Linked DNA regions of Tamandua tetradactyla. The protein of the gene in region 2 interacts with the protein of the main gene of each other region in a biochemical or structural test. Links are inferred from orthologs where the notes say so. Each region holds a gene or a part of one and is shown on either strand. Other genes may lie near its edges.

Region 1 (8,097 bases), on a different chromosome or scaffold from region 2:
CAGGCAGGAAGCCTGGTAAAATTCAGGGTGGCGACACCTCCAGGAAGCCACAGGGAGGCCCGAGTCACAGCCATGGGTCGGTACCACCTGAAGCTACCAGGAGAAGTACCTCTGCCTGCTGAGGGCTTGGCAGCCATTAGGCAGGTAGTTGGGCACCCCGGACAAGTGGTGGGCAGAAAGGGAGACGCAGGTGGAGCTGACGGGCTTGGGGAGTTGGGCTTGGCCTGTACGTCTCGCGCCCACTCCCCCCACCCACACACTGTCTTCATTTGCCACTGGACCCTGTGGGTCAGGGCAGGCAGCCCCAGGCCCGAGCCCTAGGCAGGGGAATGGACGGGTGGCAGGCAGGGCACAGTGGTGCAGGGGCAGTCAGCGCCTGCCCAGCTCCTGGTCCCTGCCTTCACAGGCCCAGCCCTGCAGGCGGCCAAAGAAAGGGTGGCACGGCCTTCTCACTCCCCACTCAAAGGGGGCGGGAGGGCAGGTGTGGACAGGGCCCCGGCCACATCTGAAGGGCACTCTCACAGTAACAACGTTACCCAGGAGCTGAGCCGAGACCTCTGCGAACGTTTCTACCACTTCATACGTCCCCACCACCCAGCGCGGTGGCCCTGTGCTGTGCAAGCTCCTGGTGAGGAAGCCGCGGCGCAGTGACCTGCCTGAGCCCACCGCTAGTCCTTGCAGAGCTGTGGGGTCACGTGAGCCTAGCTGACCGCAAAGCCTGCCTCTTGCGCTCTGGAGGCGGGTGCAGCATGAGGCATCTTTCCTCTTGGACTGCAAGGCGGGGTGAAGGCGGGACAGGGCCAAGGAAGGGAGCTGTCATAGAAAAAACAATTGCCCCGTTTCCTCAGCACCTGCTGGGTGACAGGCCTGGGCTAACGAGCTCTTTTGGCACCACCAAGGCAAGGGGAACTGACCGCCTAGCTGCCGCACGTCCCTGGTCTGGCCCGGCCACTCTGGGATCTGCCCAGTGTCCCGCCTGCCCACCACTGCTGGGCACTGGCAGGAGCACGCCCCGAGGGTGTCGGCTTTCCGCACCTGTCTGGTCAGGCTGCCTGGGAACCGCTGCCCAGCCTGGAGGAGATGAGTCACCCGGACACACGGCCTGATGCTGGTGTCAACCAGAAAACAAAGGCCACAGTCAGCAAGGGGGGGGGCTGCAGGCTCCCTGGGCGGCAGTATGTGGGGCCCTGCTGCGGCCCCAGGCCCACCTCGGCAAGAAAAGCCCGGAGGAAGAGGCCGACTGCTCACACCTGGAAGGAGAGGAGAGGCGGAGGGGCAGCTCCCAGGTGCACCCCAGCTCTGCCTACACACTGGGCAGAGACCTCCCTGGCTGGCTTCCTACGGTGCGGGCAGTCTACAGTGGACCACAAGCAGGCAGGCCTGAGCCTATGCGGCGTGTGACCACGTGGAAAGTTGTCCCCTCCTGGCCCTGGTTTCCTTGAGAAGGCCGTTAGTGGGCTGACGGACATCCTCTGACAAGCTCGCTTGCCTGGCACTCCTCCAAGGCCCCGGGTTCCTGTTCCTCGGATCTCCATGGAAACCCGTGTCCTCTGGTCAGTGACCGCCCGACTCCTGACTTCCTGTCTCTGCTGAGGTCTCTCCTGGGTCTGGCCACTCAGCCCTGGCCTTTCCCCAGAGCACAGCTCTGGGCAGCAGTGTCTCTCCATTTCACGCTCTCTGTCACCTCCAACACACCCCAGAGTGCATGGCAAGGTCATCAAAGCAGGCCCCCAGGCATCTGACACCAAGAGCACAGTAAACGGCTGCCTCCTGGCTTTGTGTCCAGGGGCCTGGGGGGACCCCAAAGGGGACAGGATGGGAAAGGACTCATGCGGCCCATCGACCTCTAGCGGGCTGTTGGGACTTGGGGGAGGGACACAGGCCTGGTGGAGTCTGCCCCCTCCAATTGATAAACGGCAGCCTGCGTGGCTGTGAGCTGCTGAGCCAAGGCAGCTGGCTGTGGGGGAGAGGGCCAAGCACCCAGCTTCACTGGCATGGGCTGGAGGACAGGGCCCCTAGCCCCCACCCAGACCAGCCTCACAGCCCCTACTGTGAGGAGAAAAGCCCAAGGGTCTTGGAATCCTACACCTGCCATTTACCACCATGGTATCACGAGCCCATCAGCTAACCTTCCAGTCTGGGTTTCCTCATCTGCAAAACATTCAGGCACGATGACAGACGTAAAGGGCCTGACAATACCTGGCAGAGTGCAGGGCCACGGCGGACCCATCACCTGCAGTGGGCACAAAGGTGCGTGGACTGTGCTTCCCATGGCGGGGGTGGGAACCCAAGAAAGAGAAGTAAGAGTGCCTAGGAGGCCACCACCCACCCATGAGGAACACGGCAGCCAGTGTCACCTGGACGTCTGTTCATGCTGCAAGGATGCCTTCAGTCCCTGGGAGCACCCAGATCCCCCCAGCTCCTCCACAGGCGCTTGCACAGGCTGCCCCATGGGATTGGGCCAGAGTGCCCACTCCACGTGTGGGCAGGGGCCGAGACCCTCTCTGCTCAGTGAAGGCTGGGGATGGTGCACGGTGACCCCACTTCCAGTGCACCAGGGCCTGGGGCTGCTGGTCAAAAGCCACCCCAGGCTGCCCTGCTCCCACAGGCCCTGGGGCAGGAGCAGGGACGGCTGGAAGGCCTGGGGTGGCTGGCAAGGCAGGGCCCCGACTCCCCCAAGGCTTCTACTTGCTGAGCAGAGTCTGCCCCAGACAGAACCGCACAGCTGGGCCACAGGGAGCACTGGGCTGGGTGTGCGGGAGCGACGAGCAGACCGCTAAGGGTGACAGCACCCCTCTGCTATCAGCTCCAGACCGCCAGCAGAGAGAACCCTCACTGGGATGATGGCACCAGAGCCCGAGCCCACCTCAACCCACCCCTCCCACAGACCCACCCAGGGGGAGGGAGGGAGAAGGAAGAGCCAGAGGAAGCCCCCTTTTGACCTGGTCTGGAAGGCAGGGCAGCAGTCAGGAGGTGGGCGGGTGGGGGCTGGGGGCCCCGCAGGCAGCGCCCCGCACTGCTCCAGCTCACAGCAGAGCAAGTCCTAGTTTGGACAGTGAGCGGCGGTGGCGGCTGCGCCTCTGCCCCCTCCCCCCGCCACCCTCCCCCCAGCCTGAGACAGCCGTTATGAAAATAACCCGTTTGGTAACCGACGGCACTTCCTCTCCAGCAGCGGCTCCAAGCCCTGCAGCGAGCAGGCGGCGGGTGGGCGGCTGAACCGGCACACTTGCGCACGCACGAGCCTCGCCTCCTGGCTCCTTCTCCCACCGTTCCCAGAGCCAGGCTGAGCGACAGCCCGGCGGCCTCCCCTCCAGCCTGGTCCCCGGCAGCCCGGCCATGCCCAGACTGCAGGGGGAAACCAGGGGCCTGCGTGAGAACCCCAATGCCTGGGCCTCAGGGGAGGGGAGCCGGCCATTCGCCCTCCTGCTCCCACTGGGCAGGTTTCTCGGGTGCAGGGAAAGGGTCAGAGATGGCTAAGCACACCAGCTCCAGAAAAAGCCACACAAGTAAGCACTGGTGGAGTGTTTCACAGATTACAAAGCACTCCCCACCATGCATTCCCCTGAGCGGGCGGACACCCTCGAGGGGCCGGGCGGGGACTCCTGGTCCAGTCCCTTGGGCCCTGGCTCTGGGCAAGAGGCAGGACGCCCCGGGGGGAGCCCCACACCACACGCTTGCCCCCAGCAGGCTCACCACTCCGGCTCACACTCCTGGGACGGCCCCTGAGGGTCCAGAGCAGCAATCTCAGACTTCCAAATCTCAAGATCCCTTTACACTCTTAAAAATTACACTGAGGATGCCGACGACACTTTGAGTACATTATAGCTCTCAATATTGACCCTGCTAGGAATTAAAACCGAGAACTGTTTGAAAAATCCATTTAAAAACAATAAGCCCACTACATGTTAACATAACACACTTTGGGGGGGGGGGGCGCTGTATTTTTTAAAAAACAAAAAGTTAGAAGAGTGGCATTGTTTTACATTTTTGCAATCTTTAATGTCTGGCTTAACAGAAGACAGCTGGATTCTCCTATCTGCTTCTGCATTCAATCTGTTGCAATATGTTGTTTTGGTTCAAGTATATGAAGAAAATTCTGTCTCACACTGACATCCATTTGATAAAGGGAGGAATATTTTTAATAGTCTTTTCAGAATAATTATAGATATTTTTCGTTGCTACACGCCAAAATATGACAAGAGGCTGTTTCTTAAACGGTTAGCTGCAATGTGGAATCAGAAACAACACTGATGAACTTTTCGATGGTCCATCCTGCACTTTGGAATCTGTGGCATCAAGTAATGGTTATTGGCAAATATTGGTTTATTGAGTTATGCAAGTTTTCCAAATGTTGACAAGTTTCATCATACAACACAATATCAAAAAAGTGACATTTGCCAGCATCACTGAAGATCTCATCAGAAAAGTTCCAGTATCTCCCAAAAGCCCAAATTTCCTCAATGGCAACAAATACTGATCCAGTTGTTCAAATGTCTGCTCGCTTTATTCATTTTCAAGATAATGTCTGCCCAACAGCCCAGTCTGAACAGCGCGCTGACTGTTATTGAGAGTAAAACGGTGTCCCTGACAACAACAAACAGGACAGCCTGCAACTCAAACAGCAGCACAAGAGCTTTTCCTTAAAGTGGCACCACAGTCCAGTCTGTAGTGGAAGCTGATTTTTGTATACTTCCCATTTCTTTGCCAGAATGCTAAAATGATACCTACTCAGGGTCAAGACTCCCAAATCAATCATTTTTATTGCGCTTTTTCTTTTTTACTGCAAACGTGTGGCATGACATGCGCGTGAGTGCCGACTCGCACGTGGTGGGCCGCGGCCTTGACTTGTGCTATGGCTCCAGCAGTTTACCCACCATCGCTTTTTTTTTTAACCTTTTTTTCTATGAAATATAACATATATCCACAATCTCAGGTTTTTCCTTCTAGCTGCTCCAAGACACTGGAGACTAAAATGATTATAATCATTTTATGAATTTGAATATGGACTTTATGAATATAATGATTCAGCAGCAGATTCATTTGTTAAACCCGACCTTCTCCATATATAATGCCACCATCACCTTTGATCATTCTCCCACTCTTCAGGTGTATTTGGGCTATGGCCATTCTAAGTTCTCCATGTTGGAAGGGACTGTCAGTAATAAGGGCTAGGGGGATGGAACTAGCTGATGTGCTGGAGAGGCTGCGCCCTCCGCATTTCAGGACTTATCTGGTCCAGGGGTCCATCTGGAAGTTGTAGGTTTCTGGAAAGTTGCCACAGTGCCTGGAACCTTTGCAGAACCTCTGAAAGAGTGCTGGGTGTTCTGCAGGGTTAACAGGAGCAGTTTGGGTTGGGGTCTGGCAAACCCTGGTAATCAGCATTCCAGCTGAAGCTTGTGTAAGAGCAGCCTCCACACTGGGAACCCCTGATTCTCACTCAGGTTGGATTGTACGATGTGCAAAAACTGTTTAAAAATTAACAGAGAGATAACAAGAGCTGGGGGAAATGTGGAGAAAGAGACGCACTATTCATTGTTGGCTGTGAAGAAGAGAGGCGCAGCCCCTCGGAAGGCACTGCGGTGACCACAGGAGGCCAGGGGTGGGGTTACCATTGGACCCTGGAACCCCGATGCTGGATATATACCTGGAGGAATTGAGGGTGGGGACACCAATGGACATTTGCACACCGGTGTTTCTGGCCACGGCATTCACAATTCTCAACAGATGGAGGTGGCCTAAGGGTGCAACGACCGAGGGATGGAAGGGGGAACTGTGGTGTGTACATGGACTACTGAGCAGCTGAAAGAAGGAATGAAGTTGTGAGGCATGCAGCTAAGTGAATGAACCTTGAGGACAGTACGCCGAATGAAATGTCAGAGACAGAAAGATAAATATCATCATGCCCCACACATACGGACTAACTAATATACAAACCCGGAGAACTGAAATGGAGGGACCGGGGCCTATTGTAAAGGTTCCGAGATTGCAAGCTCTAACAGCAGTCACATCTATTCCAAAGTTGTAACTGTTATTTCTAAATTCTGAGATATTGAGCTATTTGTGTATAATCTGGTCATTCCCTGGAACTTCGTGGATTTGTGTAACATCTGAGACTCAGAACTACAGCTCTGAAAGTCAACATTAGCCCATACAACAACTGTATAAAAAGTTGAAAACGTGATCGGACTTCACCTAGAGATATGAATGAAGTTGATCTGGACAGGACTAAGGCAAGCCAGACTAAAGGGTAAAGGATGATATGGTCTCTATTTTAAAATTTCAACTTCTGTGTGAGACCAAAGGCAGAGATGTTTATTTGGTACAAAATTTATATTTTTGGTAGCGCATTATCTAATTTAACTTGTATTAATTGTGTTCATTCAAACACTGTAATTACATGGAATCCTGACCAGGGTGTGAGATGTCGTTGGTTTGTCCAGGTTAGCGTGATGTCCCGATAGATCCCAGAGTAATTCGGGCAGAGAATAAAAAAGTATTTGCAAAGTCCCCTTGGGAGACTGGGGAGAAAGGAGGAAACATTAAACTTCCCCATCTGGGGAATTCCTGATATTCTTGCAAGTAATGGGAACAACCAAATCAATAGGGAGACCTTGATATTGGGGTTTGTCCCCATGAATCCTGCAAAGGACAGGCTAGGCCTAGCTAAGATTACGCCTAAGAGTCACCCCCAGAGAACCTCTTTTGCGCTCAGATGTGGCCTCTCTCTAAGCCAACTCGGCAAGTGAACTCACTGCCCTCCCCCCCCACATGGGACATGACTCCTAGGGGTGTAAATCTCCCTGACAACGTAGGACAGAAATCCCAGGATGAGCCAGGACCTGGCATCATTGGATTGAGAAAGACTTCCTGACCAAAAGGGGGGACAAAAGAAATGAGACAAAATAAAGTCTCAGTGGCTGAGAGATTTCAAACAGCTGAGAGGTTACCCTGCAGGTTATTCTTCTGCATTATACAGACATCCCTTTTTAGTTTATGGTGTATTAGAGTGGCTGGAGAGAAGTGCCTGAAACTGTTGAGCTGTGTTCCAGCAGTTCTTGATTCTTGAAGACGACTATATAATGATACAGCTTTTACAATGTGAGTGTGTGATTGTGAAAACCTTGTGGGTCATGCTCCATTTATCCAGGATACAGACAGATGAGTAAAAAAATAAGGACAAAAAATAAATAAATAATGGGGGGGCGCCAGGATAAAGGGTAAAAAAATATTGGGTAGATTACAATACTAGTGATCAATGAGAGCGAGGGGTAAGAGGTACAGGATGCATGGATTTTTTTCTTTTTTATTTCTTTTTCTGGAGTGATGCAAATATTCTAAAAATGATCACGATGATGAACACACAACTAGGTGATGATATTGTGAGCCAGGGATTGCACACTTTGGATGAACTGTATGACACATGAAAATATCTCAATCAAAACACTAAAAAAAAAGTAGGCTCCAGAATAGCTTCTCAACTCTATGTGAACTCTACCACTGATACCTTATTTGTCACACTTCTTTTCCCCCTTTTGGTCAGGATGGCATTGTTGATCCCACGGTGCCAGGGCCGGACTCATCCCTGGGAGTCATACCCCACACCAGGGAGACTTTCACCCCTGGGTGTCATGTCCCTTGCAGGAGGGTGGGCAATGATTTCACTTGCAGAGTTTCTACCATTGCTTTTTTACCATCAGTACAAATATTAGCAAAGCAAAAAAGGCAAATAATGCCTTTGTATTACTACGAAAATGGCTTAAACCTCACCAATTTCTCACAGAGCCTAGGGCATCTGCCGCACCACTACAGGTTCAGAGTGACTTCCAAACCCCGCAGCCGCCTGGCAGATGTGGCTCTTGTAGTGTGGCACTAACTGGACCTTCTGAGCCTTGACGCAAACCCTGGGTTCTAACCAAGCCGATCTCTTCTCCCATGCCCATCTGGCAGGGCCCAAGCTCTCTGCTGTGCCCTGTACATGGCAGTCCTTCCGCCCGGTCTGCAGGTTCCCCTCCCCATCTCGACACAGCTGCTCCAGCCACAAGCACATCACTCCGGGTCATCACTCCACACCGCCCATCTGGGTCCTCTGCCGCCGGA
Region 2 (7,565 bases):
ACTGAGTCAGCCACGCTCAGGAAGTCCACAGGTTGTTCCAAGAGGTCCTTCCACAAGACACGATGTTCTTAAGAACATCATGTGAGAGTTACCCCACAGCCCACTTTTCAGTTACAGTCTCAACAGTCTCAACTGCTGGAATTCTTTCCTTTACCTAAGATTTTCAAATGCAGGGAACCACCTTTTCTTTTCAAAGGGTGAGAGAGATTTGTTTTTACCTCTTTACCAAGTCACTATTCATTAAACTGAAACCAAAGAAAGGAAGAAAGGAAGGGATATAATAAAGGACGGTGCCTGAAGTAAAAATGCCCTCCATTTGTCCACCCCTCCCTACCCCCTGATATTTTATAGTAAGTACTGCAAGCTGATCAGGTTTCCAGGAGTTTATAGTCCAAACTACACTTGCTTCAGATCCCACCTGCCACTCGCCACACAAACCAACACACACTCGAATCAAGGAAATATTTTTCTGTTTACTTATGGTAATCATTAGGCCAAAGCAAAGAGCCTTCCACTTTTTGGATCCAGGCTGGTGATTAACTATGAAGACAATACAGAGCCTGTATACAAGTAAGGAGGAAAAACAGTAACAAAAGCAAAATAAGCTCTTTGCATTCTAGGCCAGGTAACGAAGCTGCTTTCCCAACTCGGAACATTCTCAGTTCCACACCCCAGCACCCCATCTAGAAAACTGATCTAAGCCTTGAGTTAAGATTTAAATCAACCGCCAGTTTCTGAGGTCTCAACTTGAAACACTCTGTTTTAATGGCTACGGGTTCATTTATTCATTCATTCACTCACAACACATGTGATTGAGCTTGTACACTCAAGCGTGACCCACATCTGAATAAAAATTCAGGAAACGTGATCTAGAGTTAGGAGAAAGCTAGGTAAATAGACAAAAATAATTACACAAAATCAGTGCTGATAGCCACAAGCACCAAGTGCTAAAGTACAGACAGGCAGTCATCAAATGAAAAATACAATGGAAAGGCCACTGCATTATGGGTTTCATACCTACTGCCCTTCTCCACCACACAACCCCATACATATACACAAACGGGTACAGCAGTTACTCCTATTCTATTCACATCCAATAATTAGTGGATTGACACACCCCATCCCAGGAAAGTGGGTTCAAAGGCGCTACACATGCATGGGAAACTATTTGCAAATGCACAGTTGTTTCCACATCTTTCCAAAAAAGCCACGGAAAGAGAGGGGCAGAAAAACCACCTCACCCATCCCTCACACCCAGAGCAATCCGGAATCCAGACAGATCCCTCAGACATCGGGCAGAAGTGAACTTTCGCAAAAAAAAAAAAACACCTGCAGCCAATTTCCCAGCCCTTGGCACAACTTTCCGGGCATAAACGCGCTCTCCCAATTTGCAGAGGCGAAGAGAGGCGCTTAGAATTTTAGCATCCACACATTGCCACCTCTCTCTGCCCCTTTATGATTCAACCCATTTCTGCTGGTTTACCGGGCTTCTGAGAGGGAAATGCTGCCAAAGCGGAAAACTCTACGAGTTGCAATTACCCGGTGGGCCCGCTTCGCAACCGCGACGGGTGAGTATCTCTAAGCCTACCGTTCACTTCCCGTTCAGCTCCTCAGTCCCTACGCTACACGCACACTATCTGCAGATAAAATGAGACAACGTGCACCAAGCACCGGGCCCGGTGCTTGGCACACAGTAGGAGCTCGCTAATCCTACTCATCTGGCCTCCGGTCCAACACCTTTCCTGGGTCAAGGCCTGTAAAGACTCCAGGGGCGGAGAGAAGTAGACCCCATGTGGGTAAAAGTTGTCGCAACTCCCCGCCACCCCACCTCCCCGGACACCTGCAGCACGATGGCACGTGCGGGGGTGCGAGTGCGCGAGTGGGAGCAGCAGTGGGTGTGGGCGCGTCCGGTGCGGCGTTAACCCCTTACCTTCCAGCAGCACCTCCTTGCCCGCGCGCTTCAGCGCCTGCACGGCCTCGTCGTGGGTGGCGTCCCGCAGGTCGGCTCCGTTCACAGACAGGATGGCGTCGCCCACGTACAGGGCTTGGGTCTGGTCCGCCGCCAGCCCCTTGAAGATCTTGCTGATGAGGATGGGCATCTTGTTCTCCTTGCCCCCCTTGATGCTGATGCCCAGCCCGCCCAGCTCCTGCTTCAGCACCTTCACGCCGCGCTTCTGGTTGGAGATGGACTCGGGCACCTGCTCCGGCAGGTCGGTGAAGGCTGTACGGACGCCGGCGGGCGAGTCCGGGGGCTGCGCGCCGCCTGCGCCCGAGTGCCCGGCCCCGGCGCCCCTGCAGAACGAGCCATTGGTGACGGTCCCGATGCCATTGTACGCCGCAGCGCCCTCCTCGCAACTCAGAACGAGGGCGTCCTCGCTCAAGTTCACCAGAACTTTGTGCCAGCGATCCCGCACCAAAACTTCCAGCAGCCCGCTCCGCTGCGCCCGGCCGCCACCCGCGCCAGCCGGCCCCGCCGCCGCCGCCGCCGCCGCTACCGCCATCTTTCCGGCATTCTTAAAATGCCATGCGATTGCAAAAGGGGGGAAAAGTGGGGAAGGGTTGGCGCGGCAGGGGGACGCGGGGCCCGGGGAAGCGAGGAGAGCGCGCCCCGCAGGGCGGTGGCAGGACGCGGGACTCCACCCCGGGAGTTCGCAGACGCACTCGGCGCGAGTTGGCAGCCGCAGCCCAGCTGGTTCCCCCTCGTCTGCTCCTGGGCGGGGTGGAGCAACCTAAAAGAAGAAGGAGAGACAGAGCCTGGAGGGGGGAGCGGTCAAAAAGCCGGCTGCCAGTTGCAAAACCCCAGACCGAGAGGAGCGGCGGAGCAGCTTAGCGCCTGTGGGAGCCGGTAGAGGAAGGCGCGCTCTCCCGCAAGGGCGAGCACCGACCGCCTGGCGGCCGCTCACCTGTTCCAGCCGCAGCAGCCTCGGCGGTCACACGGCCACACGCCGGCTCGGACCCTCCCCGCCGCGCTGCTCGGAGCGCACGTCGCCGCAGGGACCGCTTCGCCAGCTCCTTCCGGGTCCCGCTCCTCTCCACCCCACACCCCCCCCCCCCCAACCCTCTCTTCTCAACTCTTCCTTCTCCGCGGGCGTCTACACCGCACCCTTGCCGGGTCTGTGCGGACTGCTTGGGCGTCCTCAGTCCTTCCCCGCACCACTGTATCTTAGACTCAGTTCTCCTATCTCTGGCTTTCTCAAACCGAGGTTTCGCTTCCCTGGCTGGGTTCCTACCTGTCTGTCCTCTCCGCAAGGGCTTTCAGGAGGACGGCAGACCCCGACCGAGGCCCTGGGCTCTGGACAGTCAACAGGGTCCCAGCTGTCCCCAGAGCCCAGAAAGAAGCGTCAGCATAACCCGAACTCCCTGAACCTCTTCTTCTCAGATGCGGGACATTTTTTCTGCCAGTCTCCGGTGAGGGGTCACTGGTGGCCCCGTGTCTCCAACAGGTCACTGCCTGCCCTAGAGCCCAGGGACAAATGCTCTCAGCTCTAACACATGATATGCTTTATGCTTCAGATCTAGCTTTTTACCCAGTGCCACACCAAATGCTTCTGGGGCCTTCTCTTTCTTCCCCAGATCCAATACAGGAAGTCCCCCATCTGAAAACTCAGCTAGAATGGGCTGTATCTCAAAAGTCTCTCTACAAGTTACAATGATGGAGCGCAGCCTGCATCTTTCCAAGGTGACAATATTATAATTGTTCTTTACCTTCACTGGCAGTCAGAGAAAGCCAACATAACCCATGTCACAGCCAAACTTCCACCTGAGAGGCCTCAGAATCTTGAGCCTCTAGAGTTCTCCCCAGACATTAGCAGATCTCCTAGGCTTCTCAAAGTATTTCATGCTTCTGTTAGCTCCCCACAGCCTTTACACTCCTTGCTCCAAAAACAGAACAAAGCAAAACTCACATATCTGCAAATTCCTCAAGGTAAACTCAGCTTAACTAGGTGTCGGGAGGAAGGAAATCTTATTGAACACATTCTCACTGACAAGCACCAACGTCATCGAAAGCTCTCTTTCAATAAGTCAGGAAGCTCATCATTTTATTCAAGGATGCTTCCCAACTCTGCTGAACTCTAAAGGCAGAGTCACAGAATGAAATGAAAACGTTTGCATGTTTTTTTTTTTTGAAGGGGTTGGGTAGAGCACTGCAGGCAGGCTGGGAGGAGCCCTTGAATTAATGTATCTGTGTACAGCTCCCTCCTTTCCTATATTTCTTAACCCACTGGTTTTCCACAAGTTCTCTATTCTTCATGCAGGGACAGCAGCCACAGGGGCTCTCCAGGCCTCTGTGCACAGGTTACAAGTTCACCCAGGAACTGATGTAGGCCGTACCTCTGCTTTACAGTCCAGGACATACATCACTGTACATGGAAATCAGAGCCTGAGTTGGCCTTTTGACCCAAACACACTGTAAAGACTCCTTTACTCCTGTAAAGAGGGAGGTAGGGACCAGAATGGCAGTGTGTTGACTTAGAAATCAAGACAGAACTTCCCCAATCCAGAAATCTACTGTCAGCATCATCCAAGCATCCTGTCTCTGTGGTCAGGCAATGTGGGAGACCCAGGCATAACCAGATGTGATTTGTCTATGTGCCATGAGAAATTACAGGCTCTGGGTTGGGAAATTCTCAGGGTCTCTGTGATTAATACTTTTTTCCCCCTGTATAAGCAAACTTATATGGGAGGGAGTAGGTGGCATGTTGAAAGTGACATCAGAATGAGAGGAATCAAGAATTTAATATCATTAGGCCCGAGGCATGTATCTTAGCAAAGATAGCTTTGCCAATGAAACTATAATAGCAGGCCATGTTGTAAGTTCTGACACAAATTAACTTAGGTAATTTTCCCAGCAAGGTACTATTAGCACCAACCCCATTTCATCGGTGAAGAAATGGAGACGCAGAGAGGAATGATAATTTGTCTGGGTCACGTAGCCAGTAAGTGGCAGAATGAATACTAGAATCCAGTCATTCTTTCCAGAGTCTGAACTCTTAACCATCGGCCAGCAATGTCCCTGGAAAGTACTCACAGCCTGTTAGCTACAGCTCCTACGTTCACCTCTCAAGGGGGAAAAAACTCTGGGTCAGGCCCTTCGCGGAGACCTTATGTGGAAGGGCAGAGGTGGGTTTTGCCTGTGGCCTCTCCTTCTCTCTAAGGTTACAGAACCCCCCACCCTTTCCTTATTGGCACATTCTATTTTTCTTTAAACATGCTATTATGTTGAAACTGGTGCTTGTTGTGGTCTCGCCGGCCTAAAAGACTGCCTTATCTCCCAGACAATTCTGCACATATCTGACCTCTGATTGTTAATGTTGACTTTCAAAATGAGACCTTACTTATTTTACACCTTGGTTCTTGGCGGTTCAACCTCACTGTAGAACCCTAATACTTATAATCTGGACAGGTTATACACCCTGCTGTCTCTCCTTTTACAGAGTCATCATTGGAAAGGATGGAAGAGACTTCTAGCTTTCTCATTTTATAGATGAAGCATGTAAAGCTGACAGAGAGGCACCGACTGACCTCTGGAAGCATTTGTGGCAAAGTCAAGTCTAAATCTGGGATGTCCTGACTGGTAGGTCAGGAGAATCGGGAACGGCACTGCAACTGGAGCTGCCAAGGCTGTGTCACCCCTCCCAACATGGCTTCTGGAGCTGCCCCTTCTGGACACCTGACTTCCGGAACTGATGAACCGCCCCTTCTGGACACCTGACTTCTGGAGAACCGCCCCTTCCGGATATCACCTGACCCCTTGCTTAAAAACTGCCCATGCCATCGCCCAGGTGTTGACTCACCTCCCTCCATCTTGGATTTGGTGAGCTCAGCCCCGGAGCGCAGAAATACACCTGCATGCTTTAAATTTCCCGATTTACCTTCCTTCTTTCTCACCCTTTCGCCTCTTAAACCTTTCACTGACTACCAGTTCAATTCAGTATTCCAGAAACTACAGTTGAAACACATCTCCACCCTGTGCTGCTTTTAATTTTTATTTTTACAATTGTGGGTTTTTTTTTTGTTTTTTTTTTACCAGATTTGTTTTGCTTAGCAGCATCCCCTGTTCTGCTTCTGTTTTCTGCCCTAAACCTTTTTTTTTTTATTCGCATGGGCAGGCACTGGGAACCTAACCCAGGTCTCCGGCATGGCAGGGAAGAACTCTGCCAGTGAGCCACCGTGGCCCTGCCCTAAACTTTTGACTTTCCTTTCCCACCCAGCCCAAACCAAGCTCTTTCTATGCATCTTTCCCATGATATGTGCAATTCCCTAAGATATTTGGATGGACTTAAACTCACAAGAGCAGGTTGCACGGCCCTCAGCCAAGGGTACTCAAGAGAGCAGCAGCGTGTGCCAGAAGGAGCGGTGTTTCTGCATTTATTTCAGTTTTATTGCATACCTTCCAGGTGCCAGGCACTGTTCTAGGTACTGGAATATGGGAGCAAGCAAACCATCAAAGACCTGCCCTATGAAGCTTACATTGTAGTGGGTAGGAGAGGGGAGGTGGAGACAGACTGTAAACACCTAAATAAGATACTTCCCTGTAGAGGTACATACCAGGAAGAAAATGAAGTCAGAATAATAGGCTCCAGAGCCACTGGAGGCTAGGGGCTACTGGAGGTGGTGGCTCTTAAAGAAAGCCGTTGTGACAAGGTGACATTTAGACTAAGACCTGAATGATGGGGAGATGGATACCGTGCAAAGATCCAGCAAAGAGGGTTCTAGCAAGAAGAAAAAGCCAGTGCAAAGCTCTTGAAACAGAGCCAAGCTCATTGGTTCAAGGAACCGAAAGGAGGTCAGCATGGCTGGGGCAGTGCTGGGGAAGAGAGAGGTAGGAAAGGAGATTGGAAAGATAGGCTGGGCCAGATCCCATAGGCAGGGCTTGGGAGGGTTACAATGCAGAACATCCTTGTTCCCTTTGAGTTCCAGCAGTTTATGTTTGTGGATTTTCAGGGACAATCCCACGTTTACTATGACTTCCTAATACCACTAAGTAAACCTCTACCAGCCAGAACACAGGCTCCAATATTTAGGTTTGGAAAATATGATCATTGTAATTGTGGTACTGTTTCCTAATGGGTGGTTTGAGCATGTTTAGGGGGACTTTTCAAATAGTCATGTGAAGAGTGAAGAAAAAGAAATAAGAGCTCTTGAATCTCTGGGTGTAAATTAGAGAACAGAGTGAAATAGGAGCAGGAGGGGTGCTTGCAATGCAAAGCTCTTCATTTGAGGCCTGCCCTGTGCAAATACATATTGATTAAATGCTTAGTTCTTGTTAAGAACTAAGGTAGGTGCTGGAGGCAGGCACAGCCAGGGATGCAAAGATGATTAAGAAAGACAGACATGTTCACAAAGAGGTCGGGGGTGGAGGTGGGGGGACATGCTGAGTGTGAAATGAGTGTGGAAGCGGTCAGACTCCAGATTTTAAAGATGAAGCATTGAGACAAGGGGGTGGGGCATGAACAGGAGGCTGAGCAGATTCTGTTTTCTCTGGTGTGCCCTTGTCAACTAACAAGCACATCATCAATTTTAAAAGTCTGGGAAGCATCCTCTATTTGCCACCATTGGGATAG
Region 3 (7,799 bases), on a different chromosome or scaffold from region 2:
ATACTGATGCTCTGTGAAATTATCCATATTCAACAGAAAACCAAGATCCAGCTGTAGGAGCCTGACTGCTTTTCTCTCTTTCTCAGTTGTTTTTCCAAGGAGAAGGTAGGGAACTAATATTTGCTGGGTATTTGTTATGCACCAAGCAATGAGCTAAATGCTTTGCCTACTAAACCCAACTGTACACTATAATCCTTTCCATATAGTGAGAAAACTGAGGCTAACGCAAGCTGAGATTGGCTTGAAGGAGTAGGACTGGATCTCAGCTTGGATCTTCCAAGTTCAGAATGGCCAACACCTCTTTTAACCCTGCTCCCATAACTGAAAGACTTGTTGCCACCAGGTCTCTTGACACATATGCTTAAAGCCACATCTGTGTGAGCCACACATCTGCATTTAAATGGAACTTTGGTCATCTGGATAACCCTAACATTTCTATCTATATAAGATCTATCTGTTCCCAGAGGTCTATCACCGAATGACACGTCCTGCTAAAATGTTATCTTTCAAATATTTTTGCTGTTCCTTTATTTAGTAGTCAAAATGAACACTTCATGCCCTGAACATGGAACTGAAAGTAATTCAGTTGCTTCCCACCCACTCAGAAACTTGGCGTATGTGTCCCTCAAGCTGTCAAAAAACTTGTTTTCCTTTTGGGAAGTAGGGGAGTGGGGAAAACTTTAACATGGCCCCATATCAGTGATAGAAAATATTCATTTCACAGATGTGGGAACTAAAATTCAGTGTTTGCACACATCAGGGATTTGGAAAATCCCTAGGGAAACTTATCATAACTATTGGATTATGGGCATGCAGTCACTCAAATTCACTCAAACAAATGCTTAGCAATCAAATGTTGCCCAAACACAGAATAGTTTTCAAATCAACTGTTTGGTTGATGGATCATTATTATTCCCATAAGAAAACTACTCTAAAATTAATGGGACACTGTCTTACATTTGACCAATGCTTTTCAATCCAGTGGAAAGATTCTTACTTAATCAAACAACTTAAATCAAGAAATCTGGAGGAAGCAACACATAGTTCTTTCCAAGATATGAAACAGGGGCATGCTTCAGAGAATTGTCTCATGCCCTTTGCTCTGAAGGCTTGGTTGTCTAGTATAGAAAATCAGGTCACACCACCAAAATCACTTGGGACTTTGGTAGAGTTGCTTTTATGATAGACACAGTTTCTTTGACCAACATTTTCACTCATAAATTTGACTGGAAACATTTCTCTTTGACCTCTGTTTTCACTTTTTCTACTCTTCTCAAAATTGTCTAACAGTAGGTATTAGTGTCTTTGAACCTTCAGAGAGGGCCAAGGCCAAGGAAGGGAAGAGGCTGAAGGAACAGGGAGGCAATGCAAGAAAATGAAAAACATGGCTAGAGTCTCTAGTCAGCTCCTGGGAGGATATATACTTTGCGGAATCTCATAAGCAGGGATCTAAAAATACACCGGTATTACAAAGCAGCATGCCTAATATGATCCCATTTGGGAAAAATTATGTTTATATTTATACAGACAATATGTATATATGTGTGTGTGTGTATATATATATATATATATATAATATGTGAGTGTATTTGTGTGTGTATGTATACACACTGAATTATAGTTATTACACATGGTTTTCTCTTGATAGTAGGAAATCAGGTGATTTTAAAAAAATTTTCTCCTTTATACTGTCTACATTGTATTTTTTTTTTTTACAAAACACATGTATTATTTCGTTATCACAAAAAGCAACAAAACCAGTTTAAGAATAAAACTCTCAATAATGTTAGGCTTGATAATCCCACATGGAGTATTAAACTGTTATCTATATCTAATAAAATAAAGAGCTCTAGCAGGCAAAGGAAGGAGTGTGTGGTAAGACAATGGTAGGAGTGTAAAGGAAATTTACTCTTCTAAGCACAAGTCTAGAATGGTTGATTGTATTTTCCTTAATTGATAGATTCAACTGGCCAAATATTTTAGAGTTAAAAGATGATGATGATAAACATTTGTAGTGTGTTAACTATGTACTGAGCACTCTTCTAATTTATTTCGTTCTCACCATGGCCCTGTAAGGTAGACACTACCGTGATCCCCATTATTCAGATGATGTAGGGAAGTTACATTAAAATGAAATGCAGGGCATTTAAATAACAGGAAAGCTAAAAAATATCTAATAAGGCACAGAGGAAGAATTTGCTCTTAACTACAGTACTTTACTACTGAACTCTTACTGATTTGCAAAAGATAATCAGCATGGAAGAAAATTTCCTTTTGTCTGAAAATAAATCCAATACAAGCACAGTAAAACAAGTACATAAATCATACAATAAATAAATGCAAAAGCATTGTTTCGGGAAAGGCAAAGGCAGCCCACTTCAGGTACCTGCATTAACTCTACTGCGTTAGAGTGAGATGATAGTGGGACGTGTATACCTGTTCGTCATGAGGATGACCAAGGCAAAGTACGTTGCTTCTCTGACCAGATTACAGAATTTAAGAGATTTGGCCCTGTGTGCATCAGTCTGCATTTGCTGCACAGCAAACTGACAAACTTAGTGGTTGCCCAACAGTCGTTTCTTCTCATGCTCACAGGTCTTTAATACGACAGACTGATTGGACTTGGCCAAGCTCAGCTGGGTAGTTCTGCTTCAAACTGTGGGTCAGGCTGCACTTAGCTCCAGACTGCAGACCTGCTGCCCCATGCGCTCATCCTGGGGCTCAGGCTGAAGGGGTAGCGGCTACCTCGCAGGGGGAAACTTCTCATGGCCATAACCAAAGCCCAAGAAACAATTCCAACTGCATAAACACATTTCAAGCTTTTGCTTATGTCATCTTTGGGGCAGATGGCTCTAGAAGACCAAGGAGTGGGGTTGGGTACTTACCTGGTGTTACTGAGCGAACGACCACTGGCTTTTCGCTCCCTGCCACAAAACCAAACCCCAGCACGGGGTCCCTCCGCATTTCCACCTTCCGGGGAGCTGGAGGGATGATTTGGTAGCTCTCTAACCGAGGGTCATCAAAGGGGATTGCCTGTGTCATGTGACTGCAGAAAAAACACACACACAAGAGAAGAGGCATCAATGCATGTATTGTACATTAGCCCGACAATCGCAAATTGTCTAGTTTCTGAGCCTTCTGTGCTCTGTTTGGTAGAGAGTGGAGAAGATATGGGGAAACATCTTTGTGGCCTCCCTGTTGTGCCTTGAAAACTCTAGGCCCATGCCTGCTTTGAGCCTTGGCACCAGCTGTTCCCCCTCTCTGGAATGCTTGTCCTGCAGATATCTGTGTGGCTTACCCTCATCTCTCTTATATCTTTGCTCAAATATAATCTTCTTAAAAGAGTTTTCTTTTTAAGTCACAATCCCTGTGCACCTTTTCCTTCTTTTTATTTTTCTTCAATAGCACTGATCACCTGCTAACATGCTGCAGAATATAATTATTTTGTAATCTTATTTTTATTGTTTTTCTCTCCACTCTAGAATGTAAGACTCATGAGAGCAAGGAATTTCTCTTATTTGCTGATTTACTCCAAGTGCTTACAGCAGTGCCTGGCCCATAGTAGATGCCTAATAACTAACTGAATTAATAGAGAAAAAGATATTTCTCTGAGGAAAACCATCAAATTATAACTGATATGTTGAGGAAGAGTCTCAAAGTGACATGGACGTTTCCTAGGTGACATCTGTGGTTCCAGGCTCCAATGCAATTTGAGCGTCATGGATCATTTTGGTGGTGAAAGGCTATCCTATATCAAATGCATACCCTTTTCCCATGGAGTTTAGAATCTGGTTCTTGGCATTTATTTTACGAAATGCTTTTCAAATGATTTACATGAATTTTTGGTTAACAGCTCAACTTCAGAAGTCTCACCGATAGTCCAAACTTGTAATTTGGACAGTAGTCAAAAATTCTCAACACGCTTCCACAGATATTTCATGGGATCCACAAAACCACCTTGAGAATGAGGGAGCAGAGCAGGTGTTATTACTTAAACTTTCCTAATAAGGAAGCTGAGATCAAAGAACAGTTGACTGTCACTCAGGACCCGTGGCTGGTGTGCCAGAGAGAAGGGCTTAAAATCAACTCCTGTGACTCTTAATGAAGTCCTTACCCAGGCATCTTATCCCAGCAGCTATCTTCTGGGGAAGAGTTATTAGCTTGAAGGCTAGAAATCTCCTTAAAGCAACATAAGCCAAGATTATTTCAACGACATGGGCCTAATTCAATTTGCTCTCTCTCTAATCTTCTTCAATAAGTAAAAGAAGATCATTTTTAAGGACATTGGACGATGCTACTCTGTATGCCATCTGGACAACATATTGTTCAAATGTAATCAAGAAAAACAGGGGAGGAGAAGTCCTGTAGTCCTTCTGAGTAATTAATAAGAGGCAAGTCTCATCAATGAGACTCCTCTAGGATCTGTTCTTTAGGCATATATCACTCAGTAGGAAAAGCAAAGTTTAAACTCCCTTTAAGCAGAAAGGAAATGTCTTTTTGATTTAGCTCCTTGGGATCTGGAAGGCTAGGTGAAAAGAGGTGCACAGAGGACTGACATGTAGCCTGTCCCCCATCCCCTCTTTGCAAATGCTGAGAGCAAATTTAACTGGCTCCAGGGCATACCCTCCTAAGGTGTGAGCCAGGTGCAAGTCACACCTGGGTCTTCTGATTCTGAGTCTAGTCAATACGACCAGCTACATCGTCTGCCCACACAGTACAAAATGAAAATGTGGGTTTCCCTGTTCAAAAATGACCAAGAATTTCAAGATGGTGACAGCAGAGCATTCAACCCAGGGTGGGGACCCTCTGAGTCCAGGGCGCTGGTAGTGGGCTATCCACTGTACCACCACTATTCTAGAAATATCCACACTCAGAACAGCAACGTTACAGGGAAGAAGAGGAGGGGTTGCTCTATGTGACATTGAAAGTGTCTGTCTGGATCCAGAGGTTAGACCCAGCCACCAAGTGGGGTGCATGCTTGGAGATGAGGGTGGGGGGGCAGACCTCAGGTGGGCAGGCGGTCCCATGGAGAGGCCAGGCCATCGGTAGGACAGAGTTCAAAACCCTGATGAAACCAGCAAAGCCAACGTGGGATGGGCCCCTGTCTTCAGGGCACAAGTCTCAGGCAGGGCCCTGGGTGGGGAGGAAGAAAGGGAGGGGAGGAAGGAAGGAAAGAAGGAAGGGAGAGAGAGAGGGAGAAAGAAAGAAAGGTAGGAAGGAGTATCCCCATTGTTGGAGCTTGGCCTTGAGCTCTGGGTTCTCAGCATCCACAGCTCACACTGCAGATATAAACGAGCAAGGCTAGGCTGGTGGAAGCAAATGGACTTGCTAATACACCCATAGCCTGGAGAGCAGAGATTTGAATGCTGGTTGGCCTCGCTCTGAATTCCAAGCCCAGAGAGGGACAGGGGAAGGCTTTCCCCTTGTTGTAGCCAGTTCTGCGAAAAGCTTACAGCAGTGGTTCCCAAATTTTATTGCACATCACAATCACCACGGGAGCATTAAAAAAAACCAAAAACCTAACACCCAGTTTTCATCCAGACCAATTAAATCAGAGTAACTGGGAGTGGGGGCCAGGTGTCACAGTTTTGTTTTGTTTTTTTAATAGCTTCCCAGGTGATTCTAAAATGTGAAAATGTTTGGGGACCATGCACCTGCCCAAGCAAGGGTGGGTTGTAGTATGCCTTCTAGATAATAGGAGAAAACAGCACAAATGACATCCCCAATTATATCTTCTAGCATGTACTACAAATTTAAGTTTAAATATTTAAAATATCTTTGGCTTGACTATCTTCTTTCCATTACCTGATGATAATGTAATAGTATCTAATTTATTCAATCATCCATCTATTCAATAGCATGTTATTATTAAGAGCTGACATTTATTAAACCCTAATTCTGTGCTAAGTATTGTTCTAAATGCTTTCCATATATTAGCACATTTAATTCTCCAAACCACTCCATAATGCAATCATTTAGTCAACAAATATTTATTGACTGATCTGATAGGTTCAGGTGTCAACTTGGCCAGGTGATGATGTCCAGTTGTTCTGTTGCTGTGGACTTAAATCATCAGCATGTGAATTTCCTCTACGGCTGATTACATCTGTGGTCAGCTAAAAGGAGTGCATTCTGCAATGAGTGACGTTTTAATTTGATCAGATGGAGGCTTAAAAGGAGAACTCAGAAGAGAGCAAAGCAGCTCAACACAGCTCAGCTCAGTGTTCAGGGCTGATATAGACCCAGATATTTGTTGATGCAGAGAGGAGACGCCCCAGGGAAAGCTGTTTGAACCCAGAAGTCAGGAGAGAAGGCCAGACAGACATTGTGTGTGCCTCCCCATGTGACAGAGGAACCCAGATGAAAGCTAGCCGCCTTTCCTCGGATTTATTTAGTTAGAACTGTAAATTTCTAACTAAATAAATCCCCTTTATAAAAGCCAACCCATTTCTGGTGTATTGCATTCCAGCAGCTTTAGCAAACTAAAACACCTGCCCACTGGGCGCCCAGTACTGGGGATAATGGGCCCTCAGTACTGGGGTGGTGAAGAAAGCAGACAAAAAGTAAAATGTTCTCTCCAGTATTGGGAGACAGAGAATAAACTAATAAATTCATAAAATATGTAGTATGTCTGGCCATGAAGACCACTAAGGGGAAAACAAAAGCAGGAAAGGTCCGGGAGAGGGAGCTGCTAGGTGAGGGGAGCTCCATGTTATGTCCAGGCTTGGAGAACTGTCTGGGGAGGAGCAGTCAGGGTGTTGGGCATGCCAAATGCGTGCAAAGGTCCTGAGGCACCGTGTGCCTGGTGAGCGCCTGCCTCGGGAACTGCGTGGAGCCAGTGTGAGTGGCTGGAGGCAGTGAGGGCAGTGGGAAAGAGGTGATGGGAGAGGGGAGTGCAGACCATGCAGGCCCTTGGAAGGACTTTGGCTTTTGCTATGAGTGAAATAGGAAAACACCGGTAGGTTTAGAGTGGAGAACAGACTGGAGAGGCCCCCGGTGGAAGCAGTCAGAGTGAGGCAGGAGTGCTGCATCAAGCCTGGCAAAAGATCACGGGGCACTAGTAGCATAGCACTGTGGAAGTAATGAACATGGCTGAATTGGATGCTAAAAAGTGGTTAAAATGGGACATCTTATGTTATATATATGTTACCGTAATACAATTAAAAACTTTTTTTTAAATCACAATGGCTTGGACCAAGGTGGGAGTGCTAGAGATGGCAAGAAATGAAAATTCAAATATGTTTGGAATATATATGCCTGCTCTGGGTCCTGCTTCCTGCATCCGCCCCATGTTCCGGGTGAGGATGGACCCATCATGATGCAAGTCCTGTGTCCCGATGGATCCCCGTGGCATGAGACACTCTCTTCCACTCAAGGAGGTCACCCTTCCTGGTTTGCACAAGTAACCACTCAGGGCGAGTTGCTACAATCTCAGGGTGAACGTGAGAACCGCCGCTGCCGCCTGGAGTGAAACTGTGGAGCCAAACTGCCTGGATTTGAGTCCTGACCCCACCACTTCCTAGCAGTGGGACCTGCACACATCACTGCAGCGCTCTGTGTGCCTCAGTTGCCTCCTCTGGCAAGTGGCAACAATCCTAGTAACAACCTGCAAACATGATGGTGCCAATTGAATGAGTGAACACAGTAAAGCAAAGCACTTAGCGAAACGTCTGGCACAAAGTAAGCATTCAAAAAGCATTAGCTATTATTTTTATTGTCTGGGGTTAAATGAATGGAAAGGAATAAGTATCAGACATGATGAACTCATTCCATCTTAAAGTATGAAAAGCAAATCAATA

Evidence for each region.
Region 1: the proteins of SNTB1 (region 2) and DGKZ form a complex in vitro, tested with the Homo sapiens proteins (2 studies listed by BioGRID and IntAct, with this or other methods). The link is inferred for Tamandua tetradactyla from reciprocal best matches to the Homo sapiens genes SNTB1 and DGKZ.
Region 3: the proteins of SNTB1 (region 2) and FRMPD4 interact in a test that uses a peptide from one of them, tested with the Homo sapiens proteins (2 studies listed by IntAct, with this or other methods). The link is inferred for Tamandua tetradactyla from reciprocal best matches to the Homo sapiens genes SNTB1 and FRMPD4.

What each region holds. Positions count from the first base shown.
Region 1 is NC_135334.1:123,054,160-123,062,256, reverse strand, and holds the start of DGKZ (diacylglycerol kinase zeta), read right to left. Parts: upstream 3,056-8,097; 5' UTR 2,453-3,055; coding exon 2,358-2,452; intron 2,242-2,357; exon of another isoform or gene 1,251-2,241; intron 1,109-1,250; coding exon 1,036-1,108; exon of another isoform or gene 915-1,035; intron 814-914; coding exon 657-813; exon of another isoform or gene 1-656. UniProt on the Homo sapiens protein: Diacylglycerol kinase that converts diacylglycerol/DAG into phosphatidic acid/phosphatidate/PA and regulates the respective levels of these two bioactive lipids.
Region 2 is NC_135332.1:165,260,588-165,268,152, forward strand, and holds the start of SNTB1 (beta-1-syntrophin), read right to left. Parts: upstream 3,019-7,565; 5' UTR 2,904-3,018; intron 2,730-2,903; 5' UTR 2,502-2,729; coding exon 1,931-2,501; intron 1-1,930. UniProt on the Homo sapiens protein: Adapter protein that binds to and probably organizes the subcellular localization of a variety of membrane proteins. May link various receptors to the actin cytoskeleton and the dystrophin glycoprotein complex.
Region 3 is NC_135353.1:162,685,745-162,693,543, forward strand, and holds the start of FRMPD4 (FERM and PDZ domain-containing protein 4), read right to left. Parts: upstream 3,056-7,799; 5' UTR 3,043-3,055; coding exon 2,886-3,042; intron 1-2,885. UniProt on the Homo sapiens protein: Positive regulator of dendritic spine morphogenesis and density. Required for the maintenance of excitatory synaptic transmission. Binds phosphatidylinositol 4,5-bisphosphate.